Linked DNA regions of Lonchura striata. The protein of the gene in region 1 purifies or fractionates together with the protein of each later gene. This does not show direct contact. Links are inferred from orthologs where the notes say so. Each region holds a gene or a part of one and is shown on either strand. Other genes may lie near its edges.

Region 1 (10,227 bases):
CTCCCCTGGCTTGTTGCAGCAGCATCCCCTGGGTGCCTGCAGGCCAGCCCAGCCCCCCTGACCTTCAGCAGCTCGTTGTACAGGGGATTGATGGTATTGCGTTTGATGGTTGTCTTGCGTTTCCCTTGCCGGGATTTGTCGGGCAGGAGGTAGGTCTTCACATACCTGAAGGGAGAACAGGCAGCACTTCAACAAGGTCTCTCCAAAGCTAATCCTCCGAGCTTCCCAGGGCAACCCCAGACCTTGTGCCTCACCAGGACCCTCCCACTTACAGCTCCCATCTCTGGTGGGCACCCACAACCCAGCTGGGCACCACCAGTGGTGGCAACAGCCATCGCCCCCCTGGCTCTCACGGGTTGGAGCGCTTCCTGCCCTCGTCCCCGTAGGCCAGCTGGCGACACTCCTTCACGTGAATGAACAAGGTCTGTGTCTTCTGCTCGTAGCTCAGGGAGAAGGAGATGCCCCCGGTGACAGCCACGCTGCCGAAGTCGCCGGCCTCGCTGTAAATGCTGACCATGCTCCCCAGTGTGCTCTGGAAAACAGGGCAGGGCTGAGCTGGCACAGGATCACCTGACAGTCCCTCCTCATCCTCAGCAAGGTTACCCCTGTGCCTCTTCTGCACGGCCCCCCTCACCTCCCTGTGGCTGGGGATGGCCACAAGTGCCTCCCTCCCGCACACAGCTGCCTGGAGGAGAGCTGGCTCTCTGCATTTTGATCCCTTTTAGGGGAGAAGCCCTCACACACAAGGCTCCTCTCCCTGCAGCGGAGCAGAGCACAGCCCCCGCGGGCACTCACCGAGGAGGTGCCGCTGCGCATGCTGCCCCGCGCCACCCGCTGCCGGTGGATCTCCACCAGGTTATCGATGTCCTCCTCCTCCTCCTCCTGCAAGGACAGAGAAGCCGCCGGTGTGGGGAGCAGCCAGCCAGCGGCTCCTCCAGCTGGCAGCCATCGCCGTGGCACTCTGAGGGTCTCACCAGCTCCGTGTTGAGGCCAGGGACTGACTTGCTCCTGTCCCCCAAAGAGCCACCTTCCCCCACAAGGTCCTCGGGGCGCAGGTCGATCACGGACTTGGTGTAGTCTGCACGAGAGGCGGTGAACAGCGCACGGAGCAGGACCAGCAGAGCCCCGCTGCTCCCTCGCACAAGAGGCTGCCCCAGCCTCTCCCATCTGCACTGAAAGCCCTTCCCAGCCCAGGGAGGAGGAGCTGCCCACCCCTGGCCGTGTCAGCATCTCTCACCCGCAGGCCGCACCACCCGCCGGGGGTTCTTCTGGAATATCATTTCATGTTCATCCACCAAGGTGCTGCTGCGGGTCCCCACGGTGGCATCCTGGGAAGGAAGAGTCCCCTGAGAGCAGGGCAGGGCTAGGAGCCCTGTGGGGTGCCAGCCCCACGCCCCAGGACAGGGCTGAGCCTGTCGGAGCAGCGTCACGCACCCGCCCGTCAGAGAACGCGTTCTTGGAGCGGAGAGGGAGGGTCAGGCTGGAGGAAGCAGGTCCTGCTGGCCCAACAACCTGTTTTCCAGGGATGGCTCTCTCCAGGGAGTTCCTCCTGTGGCAAACACAGAAAGGTCTGTCCCAGACCACAAGCACAGCTGGCAGAGCAAGTGCTGGCCAGGAAGCGCCACTTGAGCTGCCCGTAGCAGCCTGGGAGCAGAGGATCTTCCTGCCCAGGGACAGGCTTCAGCCCAGCCAGAGGAGCCAGCTTCCCCCTACTAGACTGAGAAAAACACACTTCAGATGAAGGTCCCATCCTCTGCCAGCCAGTCTTGCCAAAGACAAGCCCCCCTGGGATCCTCTCACCTGCCGCCCACATCAGCAGGACTAGGTTTGTAGCTGTCCAGGCTCATGTTTTCCATGGACTCTGTGTCGCTTTTGCCATCCCTAGGGTCTGAGGCATCTGGAAACAAACTGCAGACAAGCAAAACCACAGGTATGTCCTGTTTGGTGAGGAGGTCGGTCTGAGAGAGCTCCTGCACCACCGATGATCCGCACAGGGCAGAGCTTCCTCTCAAACCTGCAGCAGATGAGAGCTGCTGCCTGGAGCACGGGGGACAGCAGGGATTCCTACCTGGACCCCTCCCGGGGTGCAGGGGGGCTCGGCTGCCGGACTGCAGAGGAGCTTTTAGGCTCACTGAGCTGGGCTTTCTGGAGGAGAGTATATCCCACAGTCTCTCTTTTGTTGGCTGCAAGAGAGGCATCATGAGGAGCACTGCTCCAAGCTCACTGCTTGGAGCAGGAGCTGCTCCCATCCAGCTCCACACTGGGCAGAGATGCACTGGGGAAAGCTGGAGCATCCCACGTGGCTGGGCTGTGGGAGAAGGCCTTGCTGTGGCACCCCTACCTGCCGGCCTGTGCCGCAGGGACAGCCGCACCATGTCGCTGCCCAGGTGGTTGGCAAAGCGGTTCACCCTCTGGTCATAGAACCAGTCACCCGTTGCCTTCTTCAGCTCACTGCAGGGCAGGGGTGGTGGGGGCAGTCAGGGGCAGTAGGGACTGTCAGCTGTGCCCCAACCCACCCTCGGTGCTGCCACAACCCGAGAACACAGGCACAGTGGGCAAAATCAGCAGGTGACTGGGCAGGGACCATTCACCGGGCAGTTGACAGGCTCAGCTACATCCTCAGCAAACACGGCAGCAAGGCAAGTTTTGTAGGACAGAGGAAGCCAAAAGGGAGGAAGCCTGGGGTGCTTGGAACACAGCTGTGCAAGGGCACAGGGGGATGCTGCAGTTAGTTCAGGTGAAGGAGCAGGACATGAAGGAGACACAAGAGAGGGGTATGACCCATTTTTCCATCACCCAAACACAGGAGTGACAGCAGAGCAAGCTGCCCTGCACTGGGGAGGACCAGCCAGGCTAGGAAAGGCTGGCTATGGGGCAACAAGTTGAGGCAACTGAGAGGAGGAAGGGGAAAGGAGGCATGTGCACAATGTGCCTGCCACTGGTCCTGGCTACTCACGCCTCCTTGGTGCAGACTTTGCAGCGCCAGGAGCCGCCGGGGCTGTAGGAACGGCAGTCCCGACACACCAAGTGGTTGCAGCCCCGGCAGGTGTTGGCCTTGGGGCTGACGCGGCCCAGGCTCTGCTGGCAGCGGGCGCAGGTCCGCTCGCTGTAGCGCTGGCTGCCCCGCTTGGCTCCCTTGCGCCGGATCTCCAGCAGCTCGTTCTTCAGGCGCCTGCCCAGAGCCGACACCGGGAGCTGTCAGAGGCGCCCCGGGACCCCGGCGACACCCGTCACCCACGCTCTCGCTCATCCACCCGCCTCCAGAGCATAGCGGGGAGGCAGCTCCTGCCCAGCTCCAGCCGCGTTCGCACCTGATCCTCCTCTCCTCTGCCTTGCGGAGCTCCTCGTCGCGCTGCAGGACCTGCAGGATCAGATCTCTCTCCACGTCCGACAGGAAGGACAGGTCCACAGCCTCCGACATCGCTGCGCCCGCGATGGCTGGCCCTCAGCGCACGCCAGCTAGGGACATGCCAGCTGCTGAGCGCGGGTCGCGCCCCGCGAGGTGCCCCGTGCCCGCTGCCGGGGCTGGACCCGGCGCTGGCGGCACCCAGGACACCGGCCCGCCCGCCGCCTCCGCCGCCCTGCCCCGGGCTGGGCTCGGGCCGCCTGCCAGCCCCGCCGCCCCGCTGACCTCAGCCGGCTCCGTGGGACCGGGCTGACGCGCAGCACCCGCGGGCAGCCCCGGCAGGAAGGAGCCGCCCCGGGCCGCCCCTCCCACGAACGCCGCGGGGCTCGGAGCTGCCCGAGCCCGAGGAGCCGCCGGGAGCGGACACGCACCAGGGCGGCACGGCCGGATCCGGCTCGCAGGCGGCGGCACCAGGAGCCGGGCGGCCGCGGCCGCTCCAGCCGGGACGGAGCCGCGGCGCTGGCTCGGGGGCTGCACCGCTCCCCGCTCCCGCCCGGCCCGGCGGAACCGGCAGGGACCTTCCTGTGCCCGCAGCCGCGCTCCGGCGGCCCTCGGGGAGGAGGGGGCGGCGGGGCGGACCCCAGGCTCCTCTCTGTCGGGAAAAGTGGGATCCGGGGCCGGGAGCGCCGCGTTCGCAGCGCGGCCACCGGGGCTGGGAACTGCCCCCGCCCGGGACACCGCGGCTGGACCGCCGGACCACAGAGGGACCCCTGGCTACCCCCGACTCCCCTGCAGCCGAGGGACCCCCGTCCTGCCCCGTCCGCGGAGGAACCCTCGGTACCCCCGCCCGATCCCACGACCGTCCCGGTACCTGCAGCGGCTCCGGCCGGCGCCTCCCGGCAGCGGGAGGGGACAGCGGCAGCGGAGGGCGGCGCCGGTGCCTTAAAGGAGCCGCGGCGGCCGCACCTGCGGCACGGACGGGGCGGCCCGTGCGGGAGGCGGTGCCCGCTCCCTCCAGCCCTTCCCCGCCCGAGCAGCCCCGGAACAGCTGCGGCTCCAGCCCCGCGGGCCGGTGTCCCCGGTGCCCCATGGCCCTGACTGGGTGGGTGGCTTCTCCCGACGAGCAGAGAGCGCACCGACACCCGAACTGCGGGGGACTCCCCGGCGTGCCCGCGGAGCAGCCCAGGGCCGCGGCCGTGGCGTCCTCCCGCCGCAAGGCTCCGGCCCTGCCCTTGTCCTTCGTGGCAGAGATACCGTCCCCGCAGGGCGCCTCGTCCCTGCCCCCCGCAGCACAGCACCGGGGAGCCCGAGCACTCGCGGCTGGCCGAGGCGTGGGGCTCCACCCGCGGGGAGGCGGCTGCTCGCCACGCAGGACAGCGCGGAGCCACCTGCGTGCAGCCCCAAGGCAAACGAGAGGACGCGGCTCTGCCCTCGCTTTCGGCCGCGCCCCAGGGATGGGAGAGCCGGAGGCTTCCAGCCCTGTGGGAAGTGATGGGACACTGATAGTGGAAAAAACCACGGAGACATCAAAGGGCCAGCGGGAACTTCCTTGTGCGGCAGGGGTTCGCTCCATCGGGAGTACACAATAAATATGCAGAGGGCTTTGGGCTTGCAGGAAGACAATGCCACAGAGGCTTTGCTCCCTGAGCCCCTCCGCACACCACCCTGGGACCCAAAGTCCCCAGGCCAGACCCCCATGCTTGCTCCAAAGTTCACGTTTTGACTGGACACCAAGAGGTGGTGAGAAACATCTTTATTTCTGAAAAAAAGATAGGAAGGAAACAGGATGAACAGACTTGCTTCAAGTACATTAAAAAAGCATGCTGCTAAATACAAGCACCAAGCTTGTCCCTGACTTGCCGAAATGAACCCAGCAGGAACCCAAGGTTTCTCAGCACTGTGGCTCTCTCCTGTGTGAAAATGGGGCTCAAGGTGCTACCACGTGTCCAAGACCTGGGCAGCAGCTGGCAGAGCCAGGACAGAACACTGGCAGTCTGCACTCCAGCTTGCTCCATCTTTGTCTGGATCATGAAGGGATCTGCCGTGTGGAGCACAACCCTGGGTGCCCTGGCACAGGGAGGCACTGCTGGGCAGTGCTGCCACCTGGGAACTAGGGAACATAAGGCACATCCAGGCTGGCAGCAGGACACACTGGCAGCATGTCTCTGCCCCTCGTGCTTTGACACCAGCCTTCCAAGGGATCTGGAGCCCCAGCGGTGCCCATGTCCCGCTAAACGGGCAGCACAGGCCGGCACTCGAGGTCCAGCACGAGGTGATGCACGTGTGGTGCGTAGGACTTCACTGCCTCGATGTGCAGGATGCTGCAGCACCACGGCCGCCCGTGCAGCTCTGCCAGCAGCCCCTGGATCCGTGCGGCCGTGGCTGCAGCCCACCGCTGCCACTCGGGTCTGAGCCTGGCCCCCAGTGCCTCCTGCTCACTGTGCTCCACCGGGTGCCACGCCTCTCCCGCGGAGCTGGCTGCCTCTGCGGAGCCCCGCTCAGCCAGCAGCACCGCGGCGTGCGCCGGGCGAGCCTCCACGTTCTGGTGGATGTGCAGAACCCCGCCCGTGTCCTTCTTCAGGACGCGGCAGGCCACCGGCCAGCCTTCCTCCGAGCTGGGAAGCAGCCCCAGGTTCACCCTGTCCGCCACATCGCGCAGCTGCAGCTGGGAGGAGAGCGGAGGTGAGGGGATGCCCGCGGGAAGGGCTCCCGCGGCCGGCGGCAGCGCTCACCTGCCGGCTGTCCCCGCCGTGGATGCGGCAGCGGTCCCGCACCCCGTTCAGCACCAGGCTCCTGTGCAGGGCCTCCACGGCGTGGCTGTTCCACTCACAGGCATGGACAAAGGCGGCTCCCGCGTGCACCAGGAACGGCAGCGTGAAATAGCCGATGCCTGCAGGCAGGAGGTGGCACTGACTGGGGACAGGGACCTCCAGAGAGCCACACTCCTCCCCGAGGGCAGGGCAGGATGCACACTGACACCCTGCCTCTCCAACTCGGCTTTGCTCTGGGTTGGAAAAAGCCCAAACACTGGAAAAATGGGAATTTATCCCTCCCTCTTGTGCAAAAGCAAATTTTGCCTTGAAAAATGTTTAGAGGAGATTATTTAACCTTCAGTCTTTGGCCACCAGGCTGAGATCTGTCTGGCTCTGCAGAAGTGTCCAGATTACCATTTCTTTTGATTAATCCACAGGAGTTTTGTGGGTGGCATTGTCCTTTCAGTGTGGCACAAATTGGAAGCACTAACTTCCTTAAGCACAAACAGTGGCAAATCTTTACCCTGGATCAAAGTGATTCCCCAAACCAGCACAAGGCACAGAGCCTGAGAACAGGACATCTTAAGTGTCCAGAGGCTGCAGGGACACAGGCAGGACAGCAGTGCCAGTGTAGCTGAAGGCCTCACAGACAAGATAGGAGCTCTAAGCCTGAGTATTTTTCATTCCAAGCTGGAAATGACATTTCCTGTCTACCTGGATGCCATCAGCACCTGTCCTGCTCCTCCTCCGTCCCCATTACCTGCATAGAGATCCACTACGACCTCCCCGGAGCAGGGCAGTGAGGCCACACGCAGCTTCTCCGTGATGTTGCCCGGGGAGAACATGCACTTGGTCACATCGAAGGTGTACCTGGAAGACCCGGCCCAGATGGTGAGGGCAGCCCCTTCCCCAGAAGCCGCATCCTGCATCTCCTGCCCACCTGATGCCGTTGTCCACGCGCTCCACCCAGCCGTGCTGGCCCAGCAGCAGGGTGACGCTGGGGGTCCGCATCCCGTCCGGCATCACCCGTCCTCGCCTGGCCACCCGCCGGGCCCCCAGAGCCGAGGCCACCGTCTCCCAGAGCTCCGGGCCTGCAACACAGCACCCCGGGAGGCGCGGGCAGTGAGACACAGTAAAAATTTAACAGAGCAGAAATTCGTTTAGATTTAAGTAAAATGCACTCCTTTGAGCTTACTAACTTAAGTGAAATATGTTATTTAGTCTAGTAACTACAGCACTAGCAAAGTTGTCTTAACTAAAGAAGAGATAAGAAAAACTCCTCAGATTTAAAAAGCAGAGTAACCCAAAAGTTTTCTATACCTTCTAACAAAAACTAAGTAGAAGTGTAACTAACTGTAAATATAACACAAAATCAGCAGAATGAATATGCATGAACCTATTGTAAAATTCTATGCATGCAGGAAATTACCTCGACTAGAATTTTCATAATAATTTTTATTACCCTGACTAGAAATTAGTCATGATAATAGAAAAAGATAAGAGTTTTCAGAAGTGTGCATGTCCATTAAAGGGCATCCACAACACTGTGAATAAACACACCGTTGCCTACGAATCTTTGTTAGCATTGTAGGGTTGGATTTTTCACCCGTGTCCCAGCGCTTACCCAGGCGCTCCCAGGCCGGGTGGCTGAAGCTGTCCTCGCTGAGCAGCACCAGGTCGCCGTGGCGCTGCCAGGCGTGCGGCAGGTCCCGCTCCAGCTCGGCGGGCCAGCCGGCGGGCAGCAGCCGCCGCAGCTCCTGGAGCAGCCTGCGGGCCGGCGGGCGGCGGCGGGCGGCCCTGGAGGGGACAGCATCCTGCGGCAGGGCCGTGCCGCGGGGGCCCGGGGCTCAGACAGCGCCCGGGGCTCGCAGCCGGCCGGCTGTGCCAACCTGGATCCGGAGCAGCTCACAGGGCATCTCCGCGGGCAGGCAGAGCTGCGACAGCTTCTCCTCCAGCACGGGCACGGCCACGCGGCCGCCCGGCAGCCGCTGCAGCCGGTAGCGCCCGTCCAGGAGCCGCTCCTCTTCCAGGCATTCCCTGCGGGGAGAGGCCCTTCAGAGCCCGCGGCTGGCCCCGGACAGCACGGGGACCGCTGCCCCCATCGTGCCGGAGCACAGGCCCCGCTGCCCTCGCTGCCCCGGGCCTCACCTGAGGCGCTGGGCGAACCTGCGCTCCGTGGCCAGCGCGGGCACCTCCGCGGCTGCCATCCTGCCGAGCCCCGAGCGGGGTCAGGCCCGGCGGGGGCTGTGCCCGAGCGGCATCCCTGAGGCCGAGGGAATCCCCGAGGCCGCTCCCGGTGCCGGCGATCCCCGAGGCCGCGGCAGCCCGTTCGCGTCCCGGGCAGTCCGTTCGCAGTCCCGGGCAGTCCCGTTCGCGTCCCGGGCAGTCCGTTCGCGGTCCCGGGCAGTCCCGTTCCCGGTGCCGGGCAGTCCCGTTCCCGGTCCCGGGCAATCCCGTTCGCAGTCCCGGGCAGTGCCGGCACGCAGCCCGCGGCCGGCGGCGCCGGTTTCCCGCCGGAGCGCTTTGGCAGCGGCGCCGCCGTGGAAGCGGAAGCGCGGTCGGTGCGGACCGGAAGCGGCGCGGGCGGCGCGATGGCGGGGCTGTCGGTGCGGGACCCCGCCGTGGATCGCTCCCTGCGCTCCGTGTTCGGTGAGGCCGCCTGCACGGGGAAACGGGCACGGACGGGCAGGGCAGGCGGGGGCCGGCGGGTTTTGCCCCTCGCCGTCGGGGCCGGTACCCGCCGCGCTGACCGGCGGCACCGTCTGTCTCCGCAGTGGGGAACATCCCCTATGAGGCCACGGAGGAGCAGCTGAAGGACATCTTCTCGGAGGTTGGGCCCGTGGTCAGCTTCAGGTGAGAGCGCCCGGTCCCCGTGCTCGGCGCGGACCGAGCCCCGCGGGCTCCGCGGCGCCGGCCTTGGAGCCGTGGGATCGGGAATCCTTAACGCTGGGAAAGGCCCCTAAAGCCACCCAGCCCCACCGCTCCCTCAGCGCTGCCAGCCCACCGTGCCCCCAGGTGCCACATGCACCCCGCTTCTGGCCACCCGCGGGACGGTGACTCGGCCACTGCCCGTTCTGCTGCTTGACAACCGCTTTGGCGAGGGAACTTCACCTGATGTCCCGTCTAAACCTCGGGCCCCTCCAGGCCGTTTCCTCACAGAGAGCAGCAGCTGCGGGGGTTGTGAGGCTGTGCCAGATGTGCTCGGGGCAGAGGGACGCGGTGGCTGTGCCAGGGTCACCTGTAGATGGAGCACAGTGCCCCGGGTACAGCAGGTGGCTGTGGGCATGCAGCTCTGGGCTGGAGGAGCTGCCCTGCTGTGCCTGATAAGTGCTCAGGTGCCGGTCAGGCTCTGTGCTCCACACTGCCATCCCTGTGCCCCCACAGTGCACCAGGCTCTGGAGAGCTGTCAGTTCAGGTTTTAATAGTTCTGGGAGCAGCCAGTCCCATCCTAGGGGTCATGGCAGGCACACAGCTGGCACTGCCCACCGCAGCTTCGGGACCAATCGTGCCAGGAGCCAGCAGCCCTTTGGCTTTGGCGTGGGCCCGACTGCTGCGTGCCTTGGGCTGACCTCCCCGTGTGCCCCGGAGCGGCAGGCACCGCGGGCTGCCCGCAGTGCCCTCAGCAGTGTTGCTTTCTTCTCTGCCAGGCTGGTGTACGACAGGGAGACGGGCAAGCCCAAGGGCTATGGCTTCTGCGAGTACCAGGACCAGGAGACGGCGCTCAGCGCCATGCGCAACCTCAACGGGCGCGAGTTCAGCGGCAGGGCGCTGCGCGTCGACAACGCCGCCAGCGAGAAGAACAAGGAGGAGCTCAAGAGTGAGTCGGCCTTTTGGGGTCTGCCTTGGGCCGGGCTGTGTCTCTTGTGCCAGGCTGGCAGAGCTGACCTGCTCTCAGAGGTGTTGCGGGTAGTTCCCCAGAGGGATGCATGGGCTCAGCTCTGGTGTTTCACTCCAAGATGATCACAGAACCACAGAATTACTTAGGTTGGAAAAGGTTTGTAAAGATCACGGTCCAACCTTTGACCAAACACACGGCATCAGCTAGACTGGAGCACTAAATGCCACATCCAGTCTTTACTTAAACGCTTCCAGGAACAGTGACTCCACAACCTCCCTGAGCAGCCTGCT
Region 2 (9,322 bases), on another chromosome or scaffold:
GGGGTCCCAGGGTAGGGGGATCCCCAGGACAGGGGGTTCCAGAGATGGGGGGGACCAGAGCAGGGGGTCCCAGGACAGGAAAAAGGGGTGGGGGGTCCCAGGACAGGGGTCCCAGACCAGGAAAAGGGGTGGGGGGGTCCTAGGACAGGAATAACAGGACAGGGGGTCCCAGGGCTGGAAAAAGGGTAGGGGGGTCCCCAGGACAGTGGGTTCCAGAGCAGGGGGGGGACCAGGGCAGGGGAAACCCCAGCCCAGGAAAAAGGGGTGGGGGTCCCAAGACAGGGGATTCCAGAGCAGAAAAAGGGGTGGGGGGGGTCTCCAGGGCAGGGGTCTCAGGACAGGGGCCCAGGGCAGGGGGATCCCCAGGACAGGGGGTTCCAGAGCAGGAAAAGGGGTGGGGGTCCCCGGACAGGGGTCCCAGGACAGGGGTCCCAGGACAGGGGGGTCTCCAGGACAGGGGGTGCCAGGACAGGGTGGGGGTCTCCAGGGGAGATGGGGCTGGGGGTGATGGTTTCTCGACAGTGATTCAAAGCAGAATGAGGTGGGGCAGGGGGGGAGTTTTCTACCAGCCCAGGCTTAAAAATAAATTAAGGGGTGGGGGGGGGCATAGCCTAATGAATTGGGGTGGGGGGCTCCTAGAGGGGCCGCAGCCCTTTCGGAGGTATCAGCAGCAAAAGCCCCCGCGGGACCCCCAAGAGGAGGAGCTCGGGGCGGGGCCGGGGTGGGGTTTGGGGTGCACTGACCGGTTTTTTGGGGGGGTTTTTGGGGGGCTGGCCCCTAGCAGGCACAGTCCTGGTGGGGGGGGGCCTGCTGGTCCGTGAGCTGGGGGCCCTGCTTGGCGCCGGTGACGGCGGGGTCGGCCGTGTCCAGCGACTCCGACATCTTCTCGCAGATGATGTCCACCAGCCGCTCGAAGGTCTGCTTCACGTTGATGTTGTCCTTGGCGCTGGCCTCGAAAAACTCAAAGCCTGGATTTGGGGTGGGCGGGAGGGACAGAGGGACAAGGGACACGCATCAAAGCTCCGGCTCCGCGCGGCTGCTGCTCCTCCTCCTTCAATATTCAAAAGGTTTGCGACCCGCCAGCCACAAAATCCCGTTTTTCCCACCCAAAGAACCCCCCCAAATCCTCCCCCCAGCATCTGGCGGAGCGTCCAAGGCGTGCAGCGACCCCGTGGTTTCTCACCGCCGATGTCGGAGCGCAGCGGTTACACGAAGGGAATTAAGCCCTTAATTAAATTAATTGCAAGCCTGGCAGCCACGGTGGGAGGTTCCCCCTCCCCAGCTCACCCAGGTGCTCGGCGAGCTGGCGGCCCTTCTCCGAGGAGACCACGCGTTCATCCTCCATGTCACACTTGTTCCCCACCAGCAGGACCTGGGCGTTGTCCCAGGAGTAGGTCTTGATCTGGGTGGACCTTGGGGGAGGGAGGGCGAGGTGGGTCAGGGGCGTGGGGAGGGGGCGGCCGGGGGTGCCCAGAGCCCCCCGTGCTCACCAGTCCTGCACGGCGTTGAAGGACTCCTCGTTGGTGATGTCGTACATGAGGATGAAGCCCATGGCGCCGCGGTAGTAGGCGGTGGTGATGGTGCGGTACCGCTCCTGCCCGGCCGTGTCCTGCCCGGGCACAGGGGACAGCAGAGCGTCACCCCCGCGCTGTGGGGACACCCCCTGGGCCAGCGGCTCCATGGGGGCAGATCCAAACCCACCCTGGAATCGCCCTGGTGGGGCAGCTCCACAGTGACCATCATCACCCAGGCGAGCATCAGCCCAGGGTGACCGTCAGCCCAGGGTGACCATCAGCCCAGGGTGACCATCAGCCCAGGGTGACCGTCAGCCCAGGGTGACCATCAGCCCAGAGTGATCATCAGCCCAGGGTGACCATCAGCCCAGGGTGACCGTCAGCCCAGGGTGACCATCAGCCCAGAGTGATCATCAGCCCAGGGTGACCGTCAGCCCAGGGTGACCGTCAGCCCAGAGTGACCATCAGCCCAGAGTGACCATCAGCCCAGGGTGACTATCAGCCCAGGGTGACCATCAGCCCAGGGTGACCGTGACCATCACCCCGGAGTGACCGTCACCCCAGAGTGACCATCAGCACAGTGACCATCATCACCCAGGCAAGCATCACCCCGGAGTGACCATCAGCCCAGGGTGACTGTCAGCCCAGAGTGACCATCAGCCCAGAATGACCGTGACCGTCACCCCAGAGTGACCATCAGCCCAGAATGACTGTGACCATCACCTCACAGTGACCATCACCCCACAGTGACCATCAGCCCAGAGTGACTGTGACCACCACCCCAGAGTGACCATCACCCCACAGTGACCGTGACCATCACCCCAAAGTGACTGTCACTATAATCCCAGAGTGACCGTCAGCCCACAGTGACCGTCAGTCCCCACACCACCACCCTCACTGACCACCACCCCACACTGACCACACCCCACACTGACCACCACCCCCACCATCCACCACCCCACCCCACCCCAGGGCTCCAGGGGCACGCCCAGGCTCTCCCCTCACCCAGATCTGCAGCTTGATGCGTTTGTCGTTCCGGTAGATGGTCTTGACCTTGAAGTCGATGCCGACGGTGCTGACGAAGGCGGGCGTGAAGGAGTCGTCGGCGTACCGGAACAGGAAGGAGGTTTTCCCCACGCTGCTGTTGCCGATGATCAGGATCTTGAACATGTAATCGAAGTTCTGGTCCGAGGATTCCTTCTGCCCGTAGCGGGAGTCGGTAGCGGACGCCATCTGCAAGGTGGAGGAGAGGCCGTGACGGCGCCGGCGGCGGTGCCAGGCATCGCTTCGGGGAGATTTTGGTTCGGGATGGGCGACGGCGTGGCCAGCGACGGGTCACTCGGCCCCGAGGGGCTGGCAGAGGTCACCTCCCGTCACCGTCACCCCCTGAGCAGGAACCGCGGCGTGTCCACAGCAGATGTGGGGCACGCGGCCCGCGGGGTTTGCCACGGCCCCAGAGATCTGCTGTGGATTCCAGGATCTGCCACGGCTGCCGGGATCTGCCACGGCTGCCGGGATCTGCCGCGGCTGCCGGGAATTTGCCACGGCTGCTGGGATCTGCCACGGCCACCAGGATCTGCTGCAGTTCCTGGGATCTGCCGCGGCTCCTGGGATCTGCCGTGATGTTGCCGTGGCGTTGCGGGTGCGGCCGGGGCGCCGCAGCCTCTCCCGCATCTTCCCGGTGACAAAATGGCACCGGCGGCGGAGCCCCCGCACGGCGTGGCCAGCGCGGTTGCGAGCCGGGGGTGGCACCGGGCACCGGGGGTGGCACCGGGCACCGGGGGTGGCACCAGGAGCCGGGGGTGGCACCGGGCACCGTGGGGAGGGCGATGCCAGGCAAGGGGGCACAGAGCCCGGCTTGCCCAGGGTGGAGCACAGGGATGCTGGGCAGAGGGGATGCGGGGTGCGCGTGGTGCTGATGAGGGCTTTGGGGTGCTGATGGGGGTTTTGGGGTGCTGATGTTTTGGGAGGGGGTGCAGTGATGCAAGGGAGGGGTTCAGGATGGTGATGGGGGGTGCACAGGGTGCTGATTGAGGGGTGGGGGGGCAGAGTACTGCAAGGAGGGGGGCTAGGGTGCTGATAAGGGGGGTCAAGGTGTTGATAAGGGGGGGTCAGGGTGCTGATGGGGGGGTCCTGGTGCTCATAGCGGGGCTAGGGTGCTCACAGGGGGGGTCAGGGTGCTGATAAGGGAGGGTCGAGGTGCTGATAAGGGGGGTCAGGATGCTCATAGCGGGGGTCAGGGTGCTCATAGCGGGGGTCAGGGTGCTGATAAGGGGGGTCGAGGTGCTAATAAGGGGGGTCAGGGTGCTGATGGGGGGGTCAGGGTGCTCACAGCGGGGCTCAGGGTGCTGACACGACGTTCACACGGGGCTGATGGGGAGGGGGGGGTCACCCCCTGCTCCTCCCCGCAGGCCCGATCCCGCTGCACCCACTCGGTCCCCGCCGCACCGAGACCCCCCCCCAGGCCCTGCGCAGCCCCCCCCCGCGCCGCATCCACCATCATCATCATCATCATCATCATCATCACCCCCCCCTCCTCCACTGCAGCCGCCCCTCCCCGCCCGTACCGGGGGGTCACGGAGGGGGCTCGGGGGGGTCTCGGGGGGGGGGGGTCCCGGTTTGAGGGGTGGTGGGGTGGGGTCCCGGTTGGGGGTGGGGGGGGGGGGTCTCACCTCTGCCGCGCTCGCGCCGCCGCCTCCTCCCCGCAGCGACTGCAGCAGATGCGGAGCGCGGGTGACGTCGGCAGAGGGGCGGGGCCCTCTTATGTAAATCAGCTCGCACGTCATGGGCGCGCCCCTGAGGGAGGCGCTGATTGGCTCGGCGGCGCGCTTTGATGGACGGCGGGCGGACGCGGGGGAGGAGACCCCCCCCTCCCGGCGCGGTGGTGGGCGCCGCCCCCCCCCTCCGGCAGCGCGCAGTGGTGCGGTCCGGCCGCGCTGCGCGGGCCGCGGGATGAACCACCCCTGCGCCGGCGGGGGTGCGGGGCGAACCATTCCCGCCCAAAAGGGGGGGGGCGAGTTTTGACAGCCTCCCTGTCGCGACATGGCGCCTATCGCGACGCCTTCCCCGAGGCCGGCGGTGGCGGGCAGGCCGATCCGTGCCGTGGCGGGGCGGCTGGCACTGAGGCGGGGCCGGTGCGCAGGTGGGCGGCCATGTCCTCCGCCGCCCTGAGGCTCCGGCGGGATTAGGGCCGGCAGCATATGGCGGCCCCGGGGCACGGCACCGCCCGGCCCGGCCCGGAGCCTCCCGGTCCTGCCCGGAGCCTCCGGGCACCGCACGGCTCCGCCCGGCCCGGCCCGGCCCCGTGCCTTCCCTCCCGCTGCCGCTCCTGCCTCCTGCCCCGGCTCATCCCACACCCCCGGCCCCGGGGGCACCGAGCTGGACACGGGGATGGAGCCAGAATCAGGGATGGAGCCAGAATTGGGGATGGAGCCAGAATTGGGGATGGAGCCAGAATTAGGGATGGAGCCAGAATTAGGGATGGAGCCAGCTGTAGGATGCAGCCAGAATCAGGGATGGATCCAGAATTAGGGATGGATCCAGACTCAGGGATGGATCCAGAATTGGGGAGGGTCCAGCTTTAGGACAGATCCAGAATTAGGGATGGATCCAGTATTAGTGGTGGATCCAGCTGTAGGATGGAGCCAGAATTAGGGATAGAACCAGCTGTAGGATGGAGCCAGAATTAGGGATGGGTCCAGCTATAGGACAGATCCAGAATTAGGGATGGATCCAGCTGTGGGATGGAGCCAGCTGTGGGATGGAGCCAGAATTAGGGATGGATCCAGGCTCAGGGATGGATCCAGTCTCAGGGATGGATCCAGGCTCAGGGATGGATCCAGAATTAGGGATGGTTCCAGAATTAGGGATGGAGCCAGGCTGCTGTGGCCATTTTCCATCACCTTCCCCAGCCAACAGCCCCTCAGCCAGAAATGGGGGAAAAAAGGGCTTTTTCCAGCTGCCCCGCTCCAGCCTGGCAGAGTCCGGGCTGGCTCTGGATTCGGGGAATTGGAGAGCCTCTGGAGAGACAAGGGGACCCCAGCACCCAGCAGGGCTGGCCCGGAGCCACGGCCACGCCGTGCAGGGCCCTGCAGGAGGTTTGGGCTGGGGAAGAACCGGCAGCTCCCGAGGCCCCGCTGCTGCCAGGGCGGGCAGGGGGCGAGGGCCCCAGGTGCCAGGGCAGCGCCGTGGGTGGGGACGTGTTTGTGGAGATAAATCAGCGTGGGGAGCAACGCGGAAGAGCCGGGAACGGGCTCCGCACCGCGCCAAGCCGGCGATTAAATATTTACCTTAGCAGGTCGTGTTTGCCGGTGATGGATCGGCGTTTCCAGGGAGGAGCTGGATTTTGTTCCAGCACCGAGCCTGGCCCTGCCCGGTGCCACCAACCACCGCTGCGCTCCCTGGGGACATCGGCTGCGGCTCCCGTGACACAAAGAGGCGCTTACGAGGCTCGTGTTTAGGGTGGAACAAACCGGGTTTAATCTCTGGGAGGTGAAGAAGAATCCCAAAGGACCCTGCCCCAGGCAGGACAGCGGAGATGGAGGTGAGGGGGTTGGTGACAGCGCCCGCCAAGGTCCCAAATGTGAAATGCAAATGGCATTTGGAGCGATCGCAGAGCAGAAATGCAAGTTTCCTCCCCGAAAAAATTGCATCTTTCCGCCCCCCAAAAAATGCGTGCGTGCCTCGGGGAGGCCCGTAGTAAAAAGTGAGCTACAAAAGGCTTTAAAAAGTGAACCCATCCCCAAATAAATAAAGCTCTGAGCCGTGCCCGTGCCGTGCGCCGGTGCCTGGTGCTGGGGGTGTCGCCAGCACCCTCTGCCCACCTCGTCCCACCACGGGGCTGCCCTCCTGCAAGGGGACACCCGGAAAGGCGCTGGAATGCTCCTTGCTGCAGCCCCTGGGCCGTGATGTCCCCAGGGCTGGGGTGTCCCCACGCCCCGGCTGAAGGGGACAGGGCCCTTGCCCGGGGAGACCAGCAGCGTCCTCCTACCTGCCAGGACCTGTGCAGGTCCTGAATGGGGAAGCGTCCCAGGTAAACCGAGCTCCTGCAGTGCCAGTGCTGCCCAGTGCCAGCTCCCCGCTGTCCCCAGGGCCGTGCCCAGTCCCACGTCCCCCCGGCAGCCAGGGGACCCCCGGGCCGGTGGCGCTACGTGCCCAGGGACAGGAATGTGACGTTGCCCTCTGTGTCCAGGCACAGCCCCTGGCTGCCCGCGGGCCCTGGCACCGAGCACCCGCTGCCACCGTCCTTGGGCAGCGTCCCCTGCAGCGCCTGCCGGTTGTCCACGTCCCTGGGGCGGGGGACAGGCGAGTCCCGGTCGCCGGGGCCGGGGGACAGGCGCTTGGCGTGGGCAGGCTCCGAGTCATCCGTGCCCGGTGTCTTGGAGCCGCTGTTGTCCTCATCCAAGGGGCTCTCGGCGCCCTCCAGCTCCGTGTCCGACTCACCCTCCTCCTCCTCCTCCTCCTCCAGCGTCAGCTCGACCTGGAACTTGTCGGTGCTGGCAGGGGACGGCGCGGGCGGCTCGGGTGGAGGTGAGGGGCTGCGCGGGATCATGCTCTGGTACCACTGCCGGTTGTCCTCCAGCGTGTCCAGCAGCTCCTGGGCGTCGGGGTGCACCAGGTCGGCCCACGTCTCCCACAGCGGGTGGGCGATGAAGTCGATGAATCCCACCTGGGGGGACGCAGAGCTGAGCCCCCCGCCCGGCCCTGCGTCCCCCTGCCCCGTCCCCCAGGCTGCCGCCCCACCTGGGACTTCTCCACGGAGGCGGTGTGCTTGTCACACATGGGGCTGATCTCCATGCCCTTCTCCCGCTCCCGGTCTCCTTGGTGGAAGAACTCCACCATGATGCGGTCAGTCCACTGCCGGTACAGCTCCAGGGGCTTGGTGGGGTTGCTGAGGTCGGCGCAGTGCACCATGTTCTGCAGGACCTGCGGACGCCGTGTCCTCTGTCCCCCAGGGCCACCCACACCATGCCACGAGCTCGCTTGGCCCCGCCGGTTGGGTTTGGGGTGGCGGTGGCACCAAATCCCAGCAGGCCAGAGCGAGGATGGACACCTGCGGCGCTGGGAAGGATTCCCCAGGCGCGTCCCCACCTGGATCCGGTCAGAGTAGTTGTCCAGCAGCAGCACCCCCAGGCTGGTCACCTTCTTGGTCTCCACCATGGTCTTCAGATCCGCCAGCAGGTTCATGTGCTTGGACATGTCCGTGGCCAACACCTGGGCAGGGAGAGGTGGGAACGGGTCTCAGCCTGACCCCCCAGCGCAGACCCCACCCTGGGGTGCTCTGGCCCCCCCATACCATGTCGATGACCATTTTCCGGAGCGTCTGCCTCTGCTTCCTGCTCAGGTTCTGGAAGATGTCGCAGTTCTCCTCCTGGAGGAGCTTAAAGCCCACGGCCAGGTGGTGGTTCTCCAGCACCGAGGCGTCGTTGTACATCAGGGCCAGTTCCGAGTCTGTGAGACGGCACTGGTCACCCCGGGGTGACTCCTGGGGTCCCCCAATATCCCCCAGGTCCATCCCTGCGCCCCGTCTCACTGGTGTTGATGAGGAACTGGTTGGAGACCCCGGGGTGGTCGACATCATGGATGGCGCTGGCAAAGATGGCAGCCATGATCTCCAGGTCCGTGAAGACAGCCTAGGAACGGCGGGAAGAGGCGTTGGGGACACGTTACGGCCCCGCCAGGCACGCCCGGGTGGCCTGGGGTGAGCAGGAATCACCTCCAGCGCGGGCGTGGAGAGCAGGACGTGCGTGGACTGCGCCACGTCGGCGGCGTGCAGGCTGTTGTGGTAGGCCACGTCGGCGTGGTAGTGGTCCTCCAGCGTCAGCATGTAGGTGATGAAGGTGTTGACGGGGATGCGGAAGGTCTTCATCAGGTCACGCTCCTGCGGGCAGGCAGGAGGTGGCTCGTCCCCGTCCGGCCACACCAGGGCCGGGGACACCGCGGTGGGACGCTCACCTGGAAGATGCTGTACATGATGACGGTCAGCGGGCGGTTCCCCGAGTACTCGGCGACTTTGAACACGTCCAGACCCCACTTGTTGGTGTCCTCCAGCTCCTGGGGAGCAGAGGGACAGAGATCCATGGGGGGCTGGTGCTGGGGACCCCGCGGTCGGGGTGGGGGTCACCCCTGCCAGGACCCACCTTGGCCAGCAGCGCCTCGTGGTCCGTGCGCACCCCGAAGCGGGGGATGCCGGCGGCGGCCAGGCTGGAGCCGTGCTTGAGCTTCCTGACGCCGCTGATCTGCGACATGGGGCGCTTCCTCCGCTCCTTCTCCTTGTCCTTCGCCAGGGCCGAGGGGATCTCCACCTCGTGCTGCTTGTCTGGGGTGACACGGGGTGGCCGTGAGCAGGGCAGGAGCCCGAACGTCACCGCCGGCGTCTCCCCGGGTCACGCCGTGACAATTTGGGGGGCTGCGGCACTTTACCCCATCCACAGCCCACACATCTGCCAGGGGACCCCTGGACGCTCCTTCAGGGGTGCCCCAACAGCCCCAGTGCACCAGTATACACCAGTATACACCAGTATGAGCCAGCACTCCCAGCTGGGACACGTGCTGTGGCATCTGTGGGACAAATCCCACTGGGACACCTGGGACAAGCCCCCTGGTCCCCCCCACTCCAACCCTCCACAAGAAGCAAGCGGGACCCTCCGCTGGCATCACCCCCACGGGCAGCCCAGCTCTCTGGGGACACAAAGGCCACGCCGGTGCCAGCGGGGAGGTGACCCCGGGGCGGGGGGTGCTCACCCAGGAAGGTGCTGGAGATGTACTCGGACACCTGGTTCCCGGAGCGGCTGGTCTCCGAGAGGTGC

What was found.
Region 2: the proteins of SYTL4 (region 1) and RAB3A purify together in Homo sapiens (affinity purification with mass spectrometry; 3 studies listed by BioGRID and IntAct, counting the BioPlex papers as one, with this or other methods). This does not show direct contact. The link is inferred for Lonchura striata from reciprocal best matches to the Homo sapiens genes SYTL4 and RAB3A.

What each region holds. Positions count from the first base shown.
Region 1 is NC_134616.1:895,849-906,075, reverse strand, and holds the start of SYTL4 (synaptotagmin-like protein 4), read right to left. Parts: upstream 4,257-10,227; 5' UTR 4,218-4,256; intron 3,460-4,217; 5' UTR 3,422-3,459; coding exon 3,312-3,421; intron 3,173-3,311; coding exon 2,957-3,172; intron 2,452-2,956; coding exon 2,342-2,451; intron 2,184-2,341; coding exon 2,069-2,183; intron 1,909-2,068; coding exon 1,801-1,908; intron 1,550-1,800; coding exon 1,435-1,549; intron 1,329-1,434; coding exon 1,238-1,328; intron 1,079-1,237; coding exon 975-1,078; intron 883-974; coding exon 796-882; intron 533-795; coding exon 354-532; intron 166-353; coding exon 63-165; intron 1-62. Other genes in the region: CSTF2 (cleavage stimulation factor subunit 2), read left to right, coding at 8,691-8,748, 8,874-8,952, 9,747-9,916. UniProt on the Homo sapiens protein: Modulates exocytosis of dense-core granules and secretion of hormones in the pancreas and the pituitary. Interacts with vesicles containing negatively charged phospholipids in a Ca(2+)-independent manner.
Region 2 is NC_134630.1:6,990,341-6,999,662, forward strand, and holds the start of RAB3A (ras-related protein Rab-3A), read right to left. Parts: upstream 4,323-9,322; 5' UTR 4,301-4,322; coding exon 4,187-4,300; intron 2,748-4,186; coding exon 2,520-2,747; intron 1,610-2,519; coding exon 1,491-1,609; intron 1,413-1,490; coding exon 1,288-1,412; intron 969-1,287; coding exon 778-968; 3' UTR 1-777. Other genes in the region: PDE4C (3',5'-cyclic-AMP phosphodiesterase 4C), read right to left, coding at 6,661-7,182, 7,257-7,439, 7,605-7,727, 7,810-7,964, 8,047-8,146, 8,230-8,394, 8,469-8,567, 8,654-8,832 and 1 more. UniProt on the Homo sapiens protein: The small GTPases Rab are key regulators of intracellular membrane trafficking, from the formation of transport vesicles to their fusion with membranes.